Caenorhabditis elegans: one gene and its partner. The protein of the gene in region 2 purifies or fractionates together with the protein of the main gene of each other region. This does not show direct contact. Each region holds a gene or a part of one and is shown on either strand. Other genes may lie near its edges.

Region 1 (8,135 bases), on a different chromosome or scaffold from region 2:
ATTAGACGCTAGGTAGTTGTAAACCAGCACCAAGAAGACGTATTTATTACCCAACTCGCCCTAAAAACCATTCTCTTGGGAATCTGTTTGAATTTTCAGCGTTATCGTTGTAATTTACCACCATGTGTGGAGATGTACAAAATACACTCAAAACTGAGCTGAAAATTACAGAACGTGGACTATCATAAAGGATAAGAGTAAAATTGGACTGAAAGGAACCAAAGAAGCATGGTCGTCCACTTGCCAGAGAGAACATTCGTCGCACAAGCAATGGGAACCGGATTTTGGAAGGATCCAGTGCACATTTTATGATATTCTAATTATTATTTGTTTTTTAATTGTGTTTTATTCTTTTTTGATGAATAAATTTTGCCTAAAGCAATTTTTAGCAACCCCAGTTCACAAAAAATAAAAAATATATACAAAATTAACACATACATTTCGTGTATAAAACATAAAATATACAGAAATTGTACGTATCGTGAGCGCGAGTTTTGTATTATACACGAATTATACATAAATTATACACGCACAGTCGCGATTCATGATTTGTACATGTATTATACACATGTTAGCCGGTACTCGTTTTTTGTACATTTTGTGTATATTTTTTGTATAATACACGAACCGCGATTTACCTGTGCCGACTGAGCTATCTGCCCCGTATGAATTTTTGGAAAAGTTAGAAATTTACAAAAACTACGACTTAATACTAAAAAAATTTTGGGAACGTTCTATACATTACTGAATTATTATATTTTTTAAACAATCGCTGTTGTGATGGATTGTTAAAACATTGTATAGAAGTGAAATTACATGGATTAACATATGATCATATTATTTTCAGATAAGGTTCACAAAAATGGATCAGAAGTCGAAGTATTTACAACAATGAACGCTACTGCTCACTCTTTAGAGTTCATAAGAACTAAAGTGATTTTAAAAAAATTCTTGATAAACAAAATTGGTTTTAAGATTCACGTCTGTAATGACATCCCGGGCGAGATGTGCACCGAACAACTGGTAACTGATTTTGGAGGCCCAGTCGTTCACTCAAATAATGATTCCAAAACCTATGTTGGGCATGCTTTTGCTCGTTAGTTTTCCCGCCTTTTTCAGAAAAATATTCAAGACAATTCAGATAATGAGCATTCCATACGGATAATTCCTATTTATCCATATTTGAAGCAGGTTTGTGAAGTAACAGGAATATGTGAAAGGACATCTGAATCTGCAATATTGCCAGCATCACTTTCGAATTCGAAATTGTCATTTGTGGAATCCGATGAGCCAGTAATTCATGTAAACTTTCCAACCGCCGACGAGTCGACCATTGGTGAGCCTGCTTTTATGTCGAGTAACACATTCTTGGAATCCGAAGTGATTGATGTTGGAGAATTGGAAATTCGGGAAATGGAAGTGGAAATCGAGGAAATCATGGATGAAGAAACTGACGAAAAAACTAACGAAATCGATTTGAACACCTATTTTGAACAGGACGAAGCTTCAGATTCAGAACCAAAAACCGAAATGGAGACTCAAGTGGAATCAAGCGGAGAAAAAATTATTATCCTCTTCGAATCAGAGGAATCTCAAGACGAATCAGATTATGAACCCTTTGTGATATCTGCTGTGCCAGAAGATTCGACTATTGTGCGAGCAGAGCCATTCTCCGCTGTGATCATACCACTCCCCGAGCACACAATCGAATCTAGCATCAATCAAGAATTTTCGACGCCAGAGGAGCTTTTGATAGCTTTTCTTATCATGTTATCCCTTACATTTTTTGTTCTGATGTGCGTCTATGGTTTTGTTGAATACACGGGAAAACCATATTACTGGAATATTGATTTGGGAAACAATCCAGTCTGAGTTGTCATAATTTTTACTACGGTTTTTTAATAAATGTCTGTTTTTTTGTGAAAATAAATATACTAATTTATTATTTGCAAAATAAATTATATATCGTTGAAAAATGATTAAAAAAATCCCAAATCAAAACCCAACCCTGGCAAAAAAGAAAAAGGAATGATTCTTCAGTTTCAAATAATACATTCAATAAATTAGTTGATTTCTACAACTACACAAGTTTTCACCATCATATCGTAGAAGACACGTCCTCTGTTAATCTGGAAAACTGCGGTGCTCAGTGGGAAAAAGCTACTGACCACCAAGTTTTTTATGAATGATCGCTTCAGGGCCCTGCAAAAATAGAATGAACGGTTGTGTCCTTGGTTATTTGTAAAAAATACCGGATGAGCCATAATTATGTTGACAAAAACATTCGCTTAAAAAATTTGGAGGGTGAGTTCAAACATAGTAAATTAACGCGAGTTTGTCTTGTTATGATTTAGATAATATTTTTTGCAACCGAATTTCAAAATTGTGATTTGGAATTTTAGGTGGATCTTGATTGGCTAACTAGTAAGTCGGAGAGGCTTCTTATCATTCCTTGAACATTTTTATTGGAAGTCAAAAAGTGACAAATACTGAGTTTTTGAGGAAACTATAGCACTGTCGCATATTTGAATCCCTACTATTTTTGAAACATAAAGAAACTTTGATCAACGTATTCCAAAAAATGCAAAACTGAAAACTGACAAAACTGTGAGATTTTCTGATTTTCAAAAAATCATATAAAGTTTTAAATTAGTTGTTAAATTTTTTTTGCAGTTTTTGTCCATTGTGGAGCCACAGGCATGTTTTTAAAGCAATTTTCCTTTAAAAAAATCCTCGCACGAAAGTATGACTTGTGTGCGAAAATCAAGGCAATGCCTGTCAACATAATTTTGGCCCACCATAAGAAAATAAGAAAATATATGTTGCACTTACTGTGAATAAGTAATCAAATCGGGTCCCTCTACAATAATTTGATCAGGGCGTTCTGCGGAAGTAACATCACGACAAGAAATTACTCGAATTCCACACATCCATTTTCCCAACGTCTGTCCAACTCCGATTGGTCCAAATCCTCGAGCCATTAACACCGCCTGAATAGAAAAATTTCAATTGTTTGAGTAATTTCTGGATGCTCACTTCCACGAAACAGCAAAATACTTTACACACAACTTCAACTGGGAGAAGGTCTTGAGCAAGATTAATGAAGTTCATCACATCCTGATCATCATCCAAGCTTGCTCCGATTTGCTTTAGGTCACTATAAAAACAAGGTTTGGTACGATATAATTGAATATTCTCTTCTTACATGTGACCCAATTCCGAGAGTGTTCCAACTACAGCAAGTTTGAAGCTGAGAATAAAAACAAAATCTATCAATTCTGCCAGAAGACGTCTCAAGAAGCTTGCAGCTCTGAAAAGGAAAATACGTTTTCAAAAATGTCTCAATAAACAACATACTCAAATTGAACTGAATCAACACGTGGTTGGGCTGGTTGGAGAACTTCTACGTTAACGTTTTGTTGAAAAGTTTCGGCAGAAAAAGACCTGCTCAAATGCTCCACCTGAAATTAAAATGTTTTAAAATCATGCTATTTTTTAGAATTGTTATTAAAGACGGGTTGCTTATAGCACCACAATGACCAAATATCATAATTCAAAAATTCAAAAAAAAAATTCTAAACTTTTAATGATTTCTATTAATTGAGCAATTCTAAGTTTTTTGAAATCGTCGATCAAAAAAACAGTTGTCTTTTTTTTTTAAGTTTTACTACTATATTCGATCATTTTGGCTCTATCCGAGTGGCTTTTAACAGTTTGCCCATTGGCGCAAAAAAATAATGGGTTAACATCCTATTGTTTTTATTAATTGAGATTTGAACTAGGGGTGGCAAATTTGTTTTTCGACAAACTCGGCAAATTGTCAAATTTCCGGTTTGCCAATTTGCCGGAATTTTTAATTTTCGGCAAATTGCCGATATGCCTTTTGCCGGACATCAGAAATGTCGGAAATGTTTAGAGGGGTTTTTTAAAAGGCGGAAAATTTTAAACGGATGCTTTTTGAATTTTTTCCGGTTTTCTTTAAATATTCTCATGGATTCTGCTTATTTTCAAAAATAGATGTAGGAACATTCTTAGGATGCGTACAATATTGCCGATTGAAATTAAAGTTCTGAATATTTTTCAATAAAAAATGTGAAAAACCACAATTTACCAAAAATTTTCTATTTATGGTTTTTCCGAAAATTAAGAAGTGTCGAAAATTTTCGAAAACTCCTGATTTAAACCTTGAAAAAAACATTTGAAACTAATAGTAAGAATATTTTGATTTTATAAATTTTTATCATTTCAAAACAACTCACATATTGCATGGATTGATCTATCCGGCGTAAAGCAGCTTCTCGATTCTGACGCCGCACTACTTTCAAATATTCTCGATGTGCATTGGCCAGGTTTTCCATCGATCCGTAGTCTTTTTCTTCACTCCGCTGACCGTACACTTCCTGGAAACGTCGCCTCGTTTCCATTATTTTTGAAGATGTCATCGTTCTGTAAAACAATAAAAATTGGAATAGAATTGTATATGTATTGCATGTTTTTTTTTAAATGAAACAGTAATTATAAAAAATTAAAAATATACAGTGCAGCCCAAAAAAGGTATATTCTTTTGGATGAATATAAGTCAGAAGCTGGAAATTATTTTCCACCAACAAAGGTAAAAGGAATACTTTTTTGGCCAGCACTGTATATGCAAAGCGTAAAATCAATGCAGTGAGTGCGTGAGGATGTGTTCTGCGGACCTCGCAGTGAACATGCAGACAATACATCATATTTTACGACACTTGGGAAAAGGGGACAGTTGTGTGGAATATTCAGGGAATGCGTAATCTTATGTACACCAAAATATTATAGTTGCATTCGAACAGAATCGAAGCGTTGAAAAAATATTCGATTTAAAAAATATTTATTTTGAAAAAAAAATCATATGTAACATGAAGTGGATTGTCAAGTGTACCCTCGAACATATATCATAGAGAACAGACCGATAATCCGTACTGAACCCACTTGAATTGTAGGCTTAGCAGAAATAAGATCATCATGGGAACCTTGAAAATTGTGGTCGATACCCTTCATACCACCTCGAAAGATTCATTGCAAAATATTCATTCTTTGTATGTACTCCATTTCACTTGGACCACATCTCGCAAGAACTTTTTTCTTTGTTTTTGCTCATGAATCCTAATACTTATTTGATTTTTGGGAAATGTTATTTATTGGCATAAAACATGACAATTCAGAATCACACATTCCATTCAGTCAGCCTTCGATGAAACGTTAGGGTAATAGTGCGGAATGAATTTACTTTTGGAAGAAGAGTTGTCTCACATTCGTTTATTTCTATGTAAAATTTCCGTGATTTTGTACGCTATCGTTGGTAGATTTTTATAGGTTTTTGGGAAGAAGATTTTTTTACAAGTTGTGTAATGGATTAAAAATATATATATGTACACAACTTACTTTTTTTTGAGTCATTACTCAAATTTGGCAGTTCATATCTGCGTTGCCGTTTGTCCTATTACAAAAAACGGCAACTACTGAGGTTTTAAAACATAAATAGGCCATAGAGATAAAACATAAAAAGAACAATTTCTTTGAACGATGACTTCTAAAAATGGAGCAAGAACTGATAGTGAGGTGTTACAAATTTTCGAAAAATCGTATAAAATTATGAAATTTTTTTTTGAATTTTTTTAAACTAGAATATCGCATTTGGTCATTGTCGGGTGTAATGTTATTAAAACTGTGTTTGGAAGTAATGTGCTCAAAACTCTAATATCAGTTCAAGTAAAGTATTCTGTAATTTCTGTAATCGGAATGGTCCATAACAAATTTTTATTACGCCAAACCAAAAACACTTGCATAACGATTTCTTGTTTTCTCCTCATTTATTCAAATCACAACTTTGATTCTTTTGCTTCGGAGTATCATACATTCAAATTAATCAAGCACTAATTATCATCAGTGTCTATGCTGATATCTATATTAAACCGCAAAACCGTTTTTTTCCCTTCCGTCCAATGTACATACAGACAATAGCCCGAGCGTAACTGATAAGGTCATTCAACTTTCAACAGCTGTGAGTGCAACGCATTTCTCTCTTTTTTGCCCATTTTTTTGGTGAACTTCCGATATAAATTCAATTGATCTTTCTACTACATAGTTTCCGTTTTCCAACAATTACCAAGTTTTTGAAAGATAGGCCAAGTTGATTTAGTGTTGATCGTTAGCGGAGAAACGATGCGCACAACGCTCCAAGAAGGTTTTGACGATGATTTAGATCACCGAGAAGAGAATCTCGTGAGACCGACATTATATACGGACCGCTTCAAGGCCGATCAAGTTGTGTAGGCTGCGCGTGTTTGTTAATAGTATCAGTAGGGTTTTCACACGACAGTAGCCAAGACCGCCAAAGTTCTGATACGAGGGTGAGAATTTGAGCCATAACTCCTCAATGAAAAATAGGTACCAAGAATGTTGGCGGGCTAGTACATAGTAGTTGTCGTAGTACCACTAGAGCGTGGGGCCCTTTCTTTGGCCTGCGCGACACCGACGACGCATGAGATATCTAGACAGCGTACGCATCAGAGTTGTAATGACGGTTGGGGTGGCCGTAAGATACGAGTGATAGAGAAACACCTAAAGAGACGCGGGGAGGAAACGACGCGACAGTGATAGAGAGAGAGACAATGATAAAGAGAGCACGATACGGTATGAGAAGAAAGAGGACAGATATGGAAGTGAGAAAAGAAAAGGAATTTTTTTCTGATTCGTTTTTCTTCTTCTCATCACATTTTTTTTCTACCCCACACGCATTGTTTATTCATACTATCTATACAACAATTGACAGCCAACAAAAAAGAAAAGAATAGAAGACGTTACAGAGAATTGACAGTTATTTGTTGTGTATTTCTTATGCCAAGCGGTTGTGTAGACTTGATTCAACTGGAAATTGATGGTGACCGGAAGTGGTCTGAAAACCCTTATGTCACATGATTTTTTTTTTTTTGCAGTTTTAATTTTGATTTGTCTAAAATTAAATGCATAAGTTATGTACTTCAAAAATTTTCACTTATAATTATACCTATACTGATACTTTATACATATACCGAGTTATTGCATCCAAAAATTTTTGACATTGGCTCTCAATTAGTTGGATGCATTGCATATATCATCCTCAGTTCTACGCCATCTGACTGACAGACGGACTGCCCGTTGATTTATTTCACCTCCTTTTTTTCTTCCGGATTGTTTTATAACTCTTTCATTTTTGGAGAGAATATTTATTCACTATACGTTTTTTTTCTCTCCTTCAATTTTCATTTTCAACCTTTTCTTATTTATCCTGCTGTCATACCAAAACCTTCATTTTTTTCTCTTTTTCATGTCAGGTTCTTCAGCCTTCCAATTAGTGGTGGTTAATGTATTTAGACTCATTCTTCGCATACCATTCGATTGTGTTCCGAGTAAATCCTGTTCAAAGACATCACAGCAAACACAGAAAAAACAACAACGATGCATCTCATCTTAGGCGTCTGAAGTCTGGTTATCACACTGTTTTATTTGTTTTGTAGTTGATAATGAAAAATTGTAAATTGTTTGAGAGTTTAACAATGGAGTATTTAGTGGGAACTTAGTCTGACTACACGTTAAAAATTACTGAATATTTTAAAAAATCAAAACGTACATAAAGATTCAAAATGTACTAATTTAACAAATTTCGTGAAATATCTTCTCAAAAATATTTCAAAAACCTTTTTTCCAATTTTGAAAAAAATGGTCTATTTTTTTAAAGCAAAAGTCTCCTATTTTGGCCATTTTTCCGAGCCATCGCGGTCAGAAGTTGACGTTTTTTGACTGAAATTACTAAAATTGATGACTTATCTGTTTTGCATGTACCCTAATAATACCAAAAACTAAGTAAAGTTCAGACCGATAATGGACCAAAATTTGGAGAGTTTAGTTAAAATTAGGCCGTTTTTTTTCAAAGTTTTGCACCGCCGCAAACATTTGCAAAACTTTTTTCGAGAAGTTTTTTACGAAACTCATTTCTGCTCTAAATAAAAGTTTTCAAAATTTTTCAAAAAGTTTTTACTATAATATTTGGAATATTTAGCACTGACAATTTCAAAATCACTAATTGTTTTTTTTTTCAATTGCCAATTATTTTTGGTATTTAG
Region 2 (6,939 bases):
GGTTTTCTTGGATTCACTTTTTATTTGCATCAATTAAACTTAAAGTAAGACTTGGGCAAACTCTGGGCTAGAACTTGGCAAGAGTTGGGTAAGAAGCTGGAAAGCACCAAACTTGGGGAAGAAGCTGCCGGGAATTGCTGAGTTGTAACCCTCATTGCTCTACTTTGACGATTTATATCTCGGTTATCTTCAATTTCATCAAAAAGTGTTCTACAGCCAAATTATGGAGAAATATTTGGCACGTATCTTGCCAGTTGACAATTATTTGATAAACCCAAGAAGAACCTAGATAGAAGCAGTCAAAGTAGACCAAAAGGGAGTGCAAGTCTAATACGAAAAGTACGGTAAAATGGTTGCTAAAACTGATAAAAATTAGATTTTTCTATTGATTTCAAATAGACAAGTTACACTGCGGATTAAGAATTTCAAATTCTGTGAGTGTGTGTAAACAAAGAGCCTAGATTCGAATCTGATGAGGAACGGGGGAGAAAACTATTTGAAAAAGAAAAAAACCAAACCGTTCGGCAATTTAATTCAATGAGAATACAATTTCTCAAATGTAGGTCAACAAGTGTTTGAGTACACAAAATTTTGTTTCAATTTTTGAAGAACTTACTGCTTCTCATTTTTGTCAAGTAGTAATAGTACTAGAATAGCGATTCTTAAGAAGAAAAAGAAGTTAGTAATGGAGATGTGTGGAATAATGAGAGGTGAACCAAAACTAAACGGATGGTGAAGAACAACATGAAACTCGAGAACACGGAATTACATATTTGGAAGAAGGAAAAAAACATGGAAATGACGAGAGACGCCGAGAAAATTGGAACCCGGCGACTGTGCTCAGCGGGAGCCACTCAAACACTCGTTCGAAATTAAGATTGTCTTTTTCTTTTTCTTTCCTTTTCGTTTTCTGTTGTGTGATAGAGAAAAGAGATTGCAAACAGACACACTCTCGAAAAAGGCGGGTGCCATGCCAACTGGTAGGAGCACGCGCCTTTCCCCCCCTTCAACCCAAAATAATAATGAGAACAGAGAAAGTGAAACAGAAGAAACATAATATTGACAATTGAGATTTGTGAACTGAAATATTATGGGAGACAATTTAAAAGAAAAAAGAAAAAGAAATAGTTGATCATTGTTTGAAAAGAAATACTAGGAACACAATGGGTGTGATTAGAGGGTGTGCAAGAAACGGAAGGAAAGAAATGTGAAAAGAAACGGAAAAGAAGGTGGTCTTTTTTTGGATTCAATTTATGATGTCATTGATATCTTGAAACTGACAAAAAAAGCTAAGTGAGGAAGTTGCAGGGGCTGACACTTTGAAATGCCTAGGCATCCCAACCGGGTGAAGCGTGGGGCGCCTTTCTCCCCTACCTTCATAAATTGCCATCATGTTAATTATTGGTGTTTCATAATAATGGAAGATTATATATTTAATTGAAAATAAATGTTTTACAAGCTATGAATTTTTTTCTCTTCGGGGCGTTTTTTAGGCGCACGGGCGTGCGGGCGAGGCGCGAGCTGGTGAGAGAGCGGGCGTATTTTCCATTTTTCTGCAAGTTGCTTGGTTTCTAAATTATTTGGTAATAAAATGTTTATCATGTTTCAATGCTCTGGTATCCAGGCACATATGCACGTGAGTAAGCGTGCTTGCCTGCCTTGTAGGCAGGCAAATAGGCATTCACGTAGGTGTTAGAGTTGGCTTAATCAAGTTCTAAAAATGGCGCAATATTTATTAGCTACTTTTATAATTTCTAATAATATACAGTTATTTACTAGGACATTTTTTCGCAAAGAAAATTTTTGAACAGCGAACACTGAAAAAGCAATTTTAATTTTTCAGTATAAAAAATTCCGTATATAAGAATTGATATCAAAAAGTTAAAAATACTAAACGATTAAAAAAATGCCATTTTTAACTTCGGTGGCCAATCATTCCAACTATTCACTATTTTCCTCTTTTCCAGCAAGAAAAATTATTATTTTTGTGTCTACTTTTCACATCCACTTGGCTCATGTATAACATTTCAACAAAATTATCTATAACTGATGACCAAACTTCAAAGTCTGTGCTACCAAGTCACATAGTGTTCATGCAGTCAATTCACCCTAGCTTCACATAACCTTTGCCTATTTGCTATGGGATTTTAGGTAAGCTTTTAGACAAATTACCGACAGTTTTTTTTTGAAAAAAATGGAGATTACTATTTGAACTGATGGAATAATTTATACAAGTTCCAACCAAAAAATTAGTTCAAAAACATGATAAGTAGTAAAACTTGTTCAATAACTACAGCATGAGACACCCTACAATTTTAGTAGTAAGGTTTCCTTTCACTTCACTGAACTTCATTTTCTTATGTTTTCCTTTGAACAATTGTACCTCTTGAAAGGTCTATCCTTGTTGTGTATTTTTTTCAATGTTTTAATATATAAAATCGAATAATCGAGAACAGAAAACAACTATACGATTCGTGTAATATCAAATAAAGTTGCATTGGAGAAATATACACCTGTTAGCATAACACTTGAGTTTCTATAGTTACCTAGCAGGAAATGGATATAAGATAACACAATGAAAGTGTTTTTATTAGGTTTGACGAGATTAAGCAATTGAAGAAATGAATGAGATGATGCTGAAAGACTAGTCTATGAATTCATAAGAAGGCAATCTTAAGCTTATCGTGACCTAAGATGAAATGATGTATATTGTTTTATGAGCTTGTCGCGATCTCGGAGGAGATAGGTCTATTTATCATTTAAAAGTTTATTTATTTTTGCTCGAAGGAATTATGAGTATAGAAAATGAAAATTTCAGTGTAAAGTTGACAAAAAACGCCAATTACTGCATTAATAACAACATCCATGTTCTTATAAGAGAATAAAAAGGAAGATAAAAAATATGGTTTGAAGATAAATTGTGATTGAAAGGGTTACTGGTCCCAGACTTTCATTTGAAAGTATATAACGCCTTCCGATATACGTATAGAAGCTGTTGCAGGCGTTCCGTCATTACTTATTATGTCAAATCCATGTTTAAGACTTGATGAATTATCACCGATATTTCCATTCGATCCCGGGTCATAGAACTTCTTAAATAGTCTGTCATGGGAAGCCTCTTTATGAACAATCCTTTTGAGTATTGCTTCGATAGCCACTGATGTCTCTCCGAGTTGTGTAAATCCGGATAAGTACATATAGTCAAGTTTTTTATTGGATCCATTAATCCAATGCTTCAAGAAAATATTAAGACTTTTCTCATTCAAAGCCATTTCATTAAAAGTCAAAGTAATGTGAGAACTGTTAATTAATAACAACTCATTCAATGTCATTTTGCCTGTAGAAGGCAAATTGGGATTGAGATAGTTAAAGTTTTGAATCAAAATTTTGTGTTCTTCTTGCAAGGTACGATATAATTCTCTAAGATATGCAAGGCCCTCCAACTCCAGAAACTGGTTTCTTAAAGAGTTTTCAAGGTACGAAAAACTATTGAAAATAGGATTCTGCATAGAACCCAACGATATTCTACGAACGTTTCTTTCTCGAAAAGTCTGAGATAACTTTTCGAAGAAAAACATGTTTCTGTTATTACAGTCCAAAAATACGTCGATCACGTTTGTGTTCAAAATGTCAAATATATGATAAATCGTATCTTCAACTGCGAGTTCTTTTCTTTCCCATCCAAAACTTTTGAAAAAGTTAGTGTTATAGTATCGGGCATTAGGAGGACCCGTTGACACAACAGTTCGAAACACATCTTTCCATGCTTTATCTCCATAGAGTGCGTTAAAAACAAGCAAAATTGTAGTTGATCGAAAATTAATCATCAACTTCGTTTTGCCTAACAGATCCATCTTAAAATGCTCGAATTTTAGTTTGAGAGATTGCACAATGTGTTTAGTCCTTTTGGAGCAGAAGGAAAGTGAGAGCCTGAAAAACAAATTGAGAAAATGATCAGTGATGTCACTCCAATAAAAAGTGATTTTAGTTTTCCTTTTTCTAATTGAAAAAAGTCTAGCAAAACAAGTGCTCATAAATGTAAGAATAACATATTTTAAAAATAGGTACGCAAAACAATAATATGAATTTGTGGTTTTTGGGAAACATACAGAAAATCCACGTCCATTGTTCGAAGAACATGTTTCTTAGCGTTTTCGGGTAGAAGGAGAAGAGGGAAATTAGATTCACCGTCCTGCATGATTTTGGAATCACAAGTTGAACTGAAAATACTTGTTCAAATTAGTCTGAAAAATTCTTCAAAATACAAAAAGACATAGATAGACGGATTGTTTTTGAGTAACAAGGACAATTATTGGATAAAAAGAGCAAATGATTTAGTATCGATTTGACGCTGTGAATGACTACATTGACCATTAATTGTGTGTAGCCATCCCTGTCAGATTGACCTTATGACGTAGATTCCCTTTAAGACACTAAGACTGATCCGACTCTTTTCTTTTCTTTCCAGAAATAAGTACATACTAATTATTATGAGACCTATTAAACTAGCAACAAACCGGTTCAATGCTAATTATTAATTGGTTCATAGGAGTAAAAAAAGTAAGCTAAAAAGTTTAGGTCGATTGCAACTAGTATTTTTCCGAATTCCTTAAAACTGATACTCAACGAAATAATAGATTTTTATATAATGAAAAATAACCGGCACAGTAATAAATAAGAAAACTATTGTAAATTTATACATCCCAGGCAGTCAAGGAAACATGTGAGTGACCTTATGACGTAGATTCCCTTTGAGACACACCTGCCACTGCCACTCGGTCTTTCCAGAAATAAATCCATACAAATGATTCTGAGACCTGTTGAACTAAAAATAATTCGGTTCAATGTTAATTTTTAATTGGTGCATATTTCACAGGCAAAGCGGAAAGTGCCCAAAACGGTCCGTTCACGGACCGGGAACGGCTCAAATTTAAGAACAGTTCACGGTTCGATTCCCGGTCCGTCAACGGACCGTAATTGAACCGTAAGGAGACTAAAAAATGGGAAAATTTTTTCACCCTCCAGCTGCCCCCTTTTTCTTTCCCAATGCTCCTCCGAGCTCCGGTCTTGCTCCAGACCGTCTTCCGGTGATCCTTCGTTGTAGCAAATCTATCTGTCTCAGCCGGAGTTGAACCTGTCCACTGCCTGTCGATTGATAACTGGCCCATCACCTTACCGTTTGGCCGTTCGCGCACGTGAGGAAAATCAATAGACTTCGCATAAATAGCGATTAGCTCGCGCTCGCGCATTTTCTTCTGGTTTTCACGTCTTACACCAACTTTTTCGATTGTATTTTCAGTAGTTTCTGATTCTCCATCTTGCCGTTGGACTTATATGAAAGCGAACGATAACAATTGACAGTTTCGTGTAGTTCAGAACTTATTTCGCATATTTCTCAACATCTACCTATACGTGCTCCATCTACTTGTAATACAAAAATGGTACTTACCATATTTCCTCTATTAGTCTTGCATGCAAGACTAATTTTCGATTGGACCGGGTTGCAATACTAATAGAGGAAATAAGGTATATGCGTTCTACTTGAATGATACCTTAATTTCTTAAAATACACACGGAACAGAAACGATATGATTCCAGAATGTATTGTTAGTAAAATATTTTATGATATTTCAAAAAATGGTCCTGTTGCTCAGCTGAAGAAGACCAGCACAGAGAGTGAACGTTGCGTATACACAGTATCTACCCAATTGTGGCATTTCATCTTTTTTATTGATATGTTTATAGGATTATATTAATATAACCTCTTTTACACACAATTTAATGCTTAATAGCCTCAGTTAGATCGCATGCGATTACGGGCCGCGTACGGACCAGTTGGACGGATGATAGACAAAATGGTTGCCCAGAGGAATTTTTTTTCATGAAAATTGAGTTTTTGAAGTACCTACAATGCTATTTGGTTCATTGTAGCCAGTTGGCTAATTTTTTGCCTGATTCAAGGTTTAGTTTTAAAAAGTGCAGTTTTGCCGACCGCGACGGTTAATTTACGGACCATCTACGGACCGGCTACGGCCAAACTACGGATGATCACCAAAACGGAGGATAATACGAAAACATTTTTCATGAAAATGGAGTTTTTGAAGTGCCTACACTCTCCTTTGGCTAATTTGAGCACTTTTTCCGTGCTAGAACCTGAAATTTTCAAAAACAAAAATTTGGTGCCCGGGACGGTTCATTTACGGTCCGTCTACGGACCGGAAACGGCCCAACTACGGCTCAAGAGCCATCTCGGTCGGTAAATGTGGTTTTTGCTCTAAATAATGCATTTAACGACGTAAAAATGCTTGAATTAGCCAACTGGTATCATAGGTATTAAAAAAAAATTCGTTTTCTTAAAATCCATTTTTTCCTCTTAATGGCCATTTTTTACATTCCCCGTAGTTTGCCCGTAATTGGTCCGTCCCGCTTTTCATATCCGTAGTTCGCCCGTTAATGGTCTGTTCCTGGTCCAAGATCCGTAAACGGACCGTACCCGATTTGCCTGTGTTTAGGAGTAAGACTTGGAAAAGTAAGACAAAAAAGTTTAGGTCAAATGCAACTAGCATTTTTCAGAATTTCTCAAAACTGATATTCAACGAAGTTATAGGTTTTTATTCAATAAAAGATAACCGACACAGTAATAACGAAAACACAAGTTTGTAAATTTATACATCACATACAGTCAAGGAAACACGTAAATTGTTTGGCATAGATTCTTCTATAGTGATTGTTGCAGCAGTTCCATTTTTAGTTATAATGTCGAACCTATTTTTGAGTGTGTTTGGAAAATAATCAACAAGCTCTTTTAATGAGCTACACAAATGTGCATGGTTGGAAACTGTTCAATACCTATAACTGTAAGAAGCTAGAATTTAATGGCAAAATTTGTGTGTTTTCCCGGTGGGATTTAGAGGTTGGTCAATTAGATAATAATCGGTT

The links. Proteins that work in one complex are often made in the same cells at the same time.
Region 1: the proteins of fbxb-3 (region 2) and F48B9.8 fractionate together in Caenorhabditis elegans (co-fractionation; one large-scale study listed by BioGRID). This does not show direct contact.

Annotation. Positions count from the first base shown.
Region 1 is NC_003284.9:2,171,966-2,180,100, forward strand, and holds F48B9.8 (RDD domain-containing protein), read right to left. Parts: upstream 4,447-8,135; 5' UTR 4,425-4,446; coding exon 4,260-4,424; intron 3,462-4,259; coding exon 3,358-3,461; intron 3,311-3,357; coding exon 3,206-3,310; intron 3,158-3,205; coding exon 3,037-3,157; intron 2,991-3,036; coding exon 2,833-2,990; intron 2,203-2,832; coding exon 2,064-2,202; 3' UTR 1,932-2,063; downstream 1-1,931. Other genes in the region: F48B9.3 (ZP domain-containing protein), read left to right, coding at 848-933, 976-1,096, 1,142-1,872.
Region 2 is NC_003282.8:11,836,239-11,843,177, reverse strand, and holds fbxb-3 (F-box domain-containing protein), read right to left. Parts: upstream 4,222-6,939; 5' UTR 4,199-4,221; coding exon 4,110-4,198; intron 3,931-4,109; coding exon 2,934-3,930; 3' UTR 2,752-2,933; downstream 1-2,751.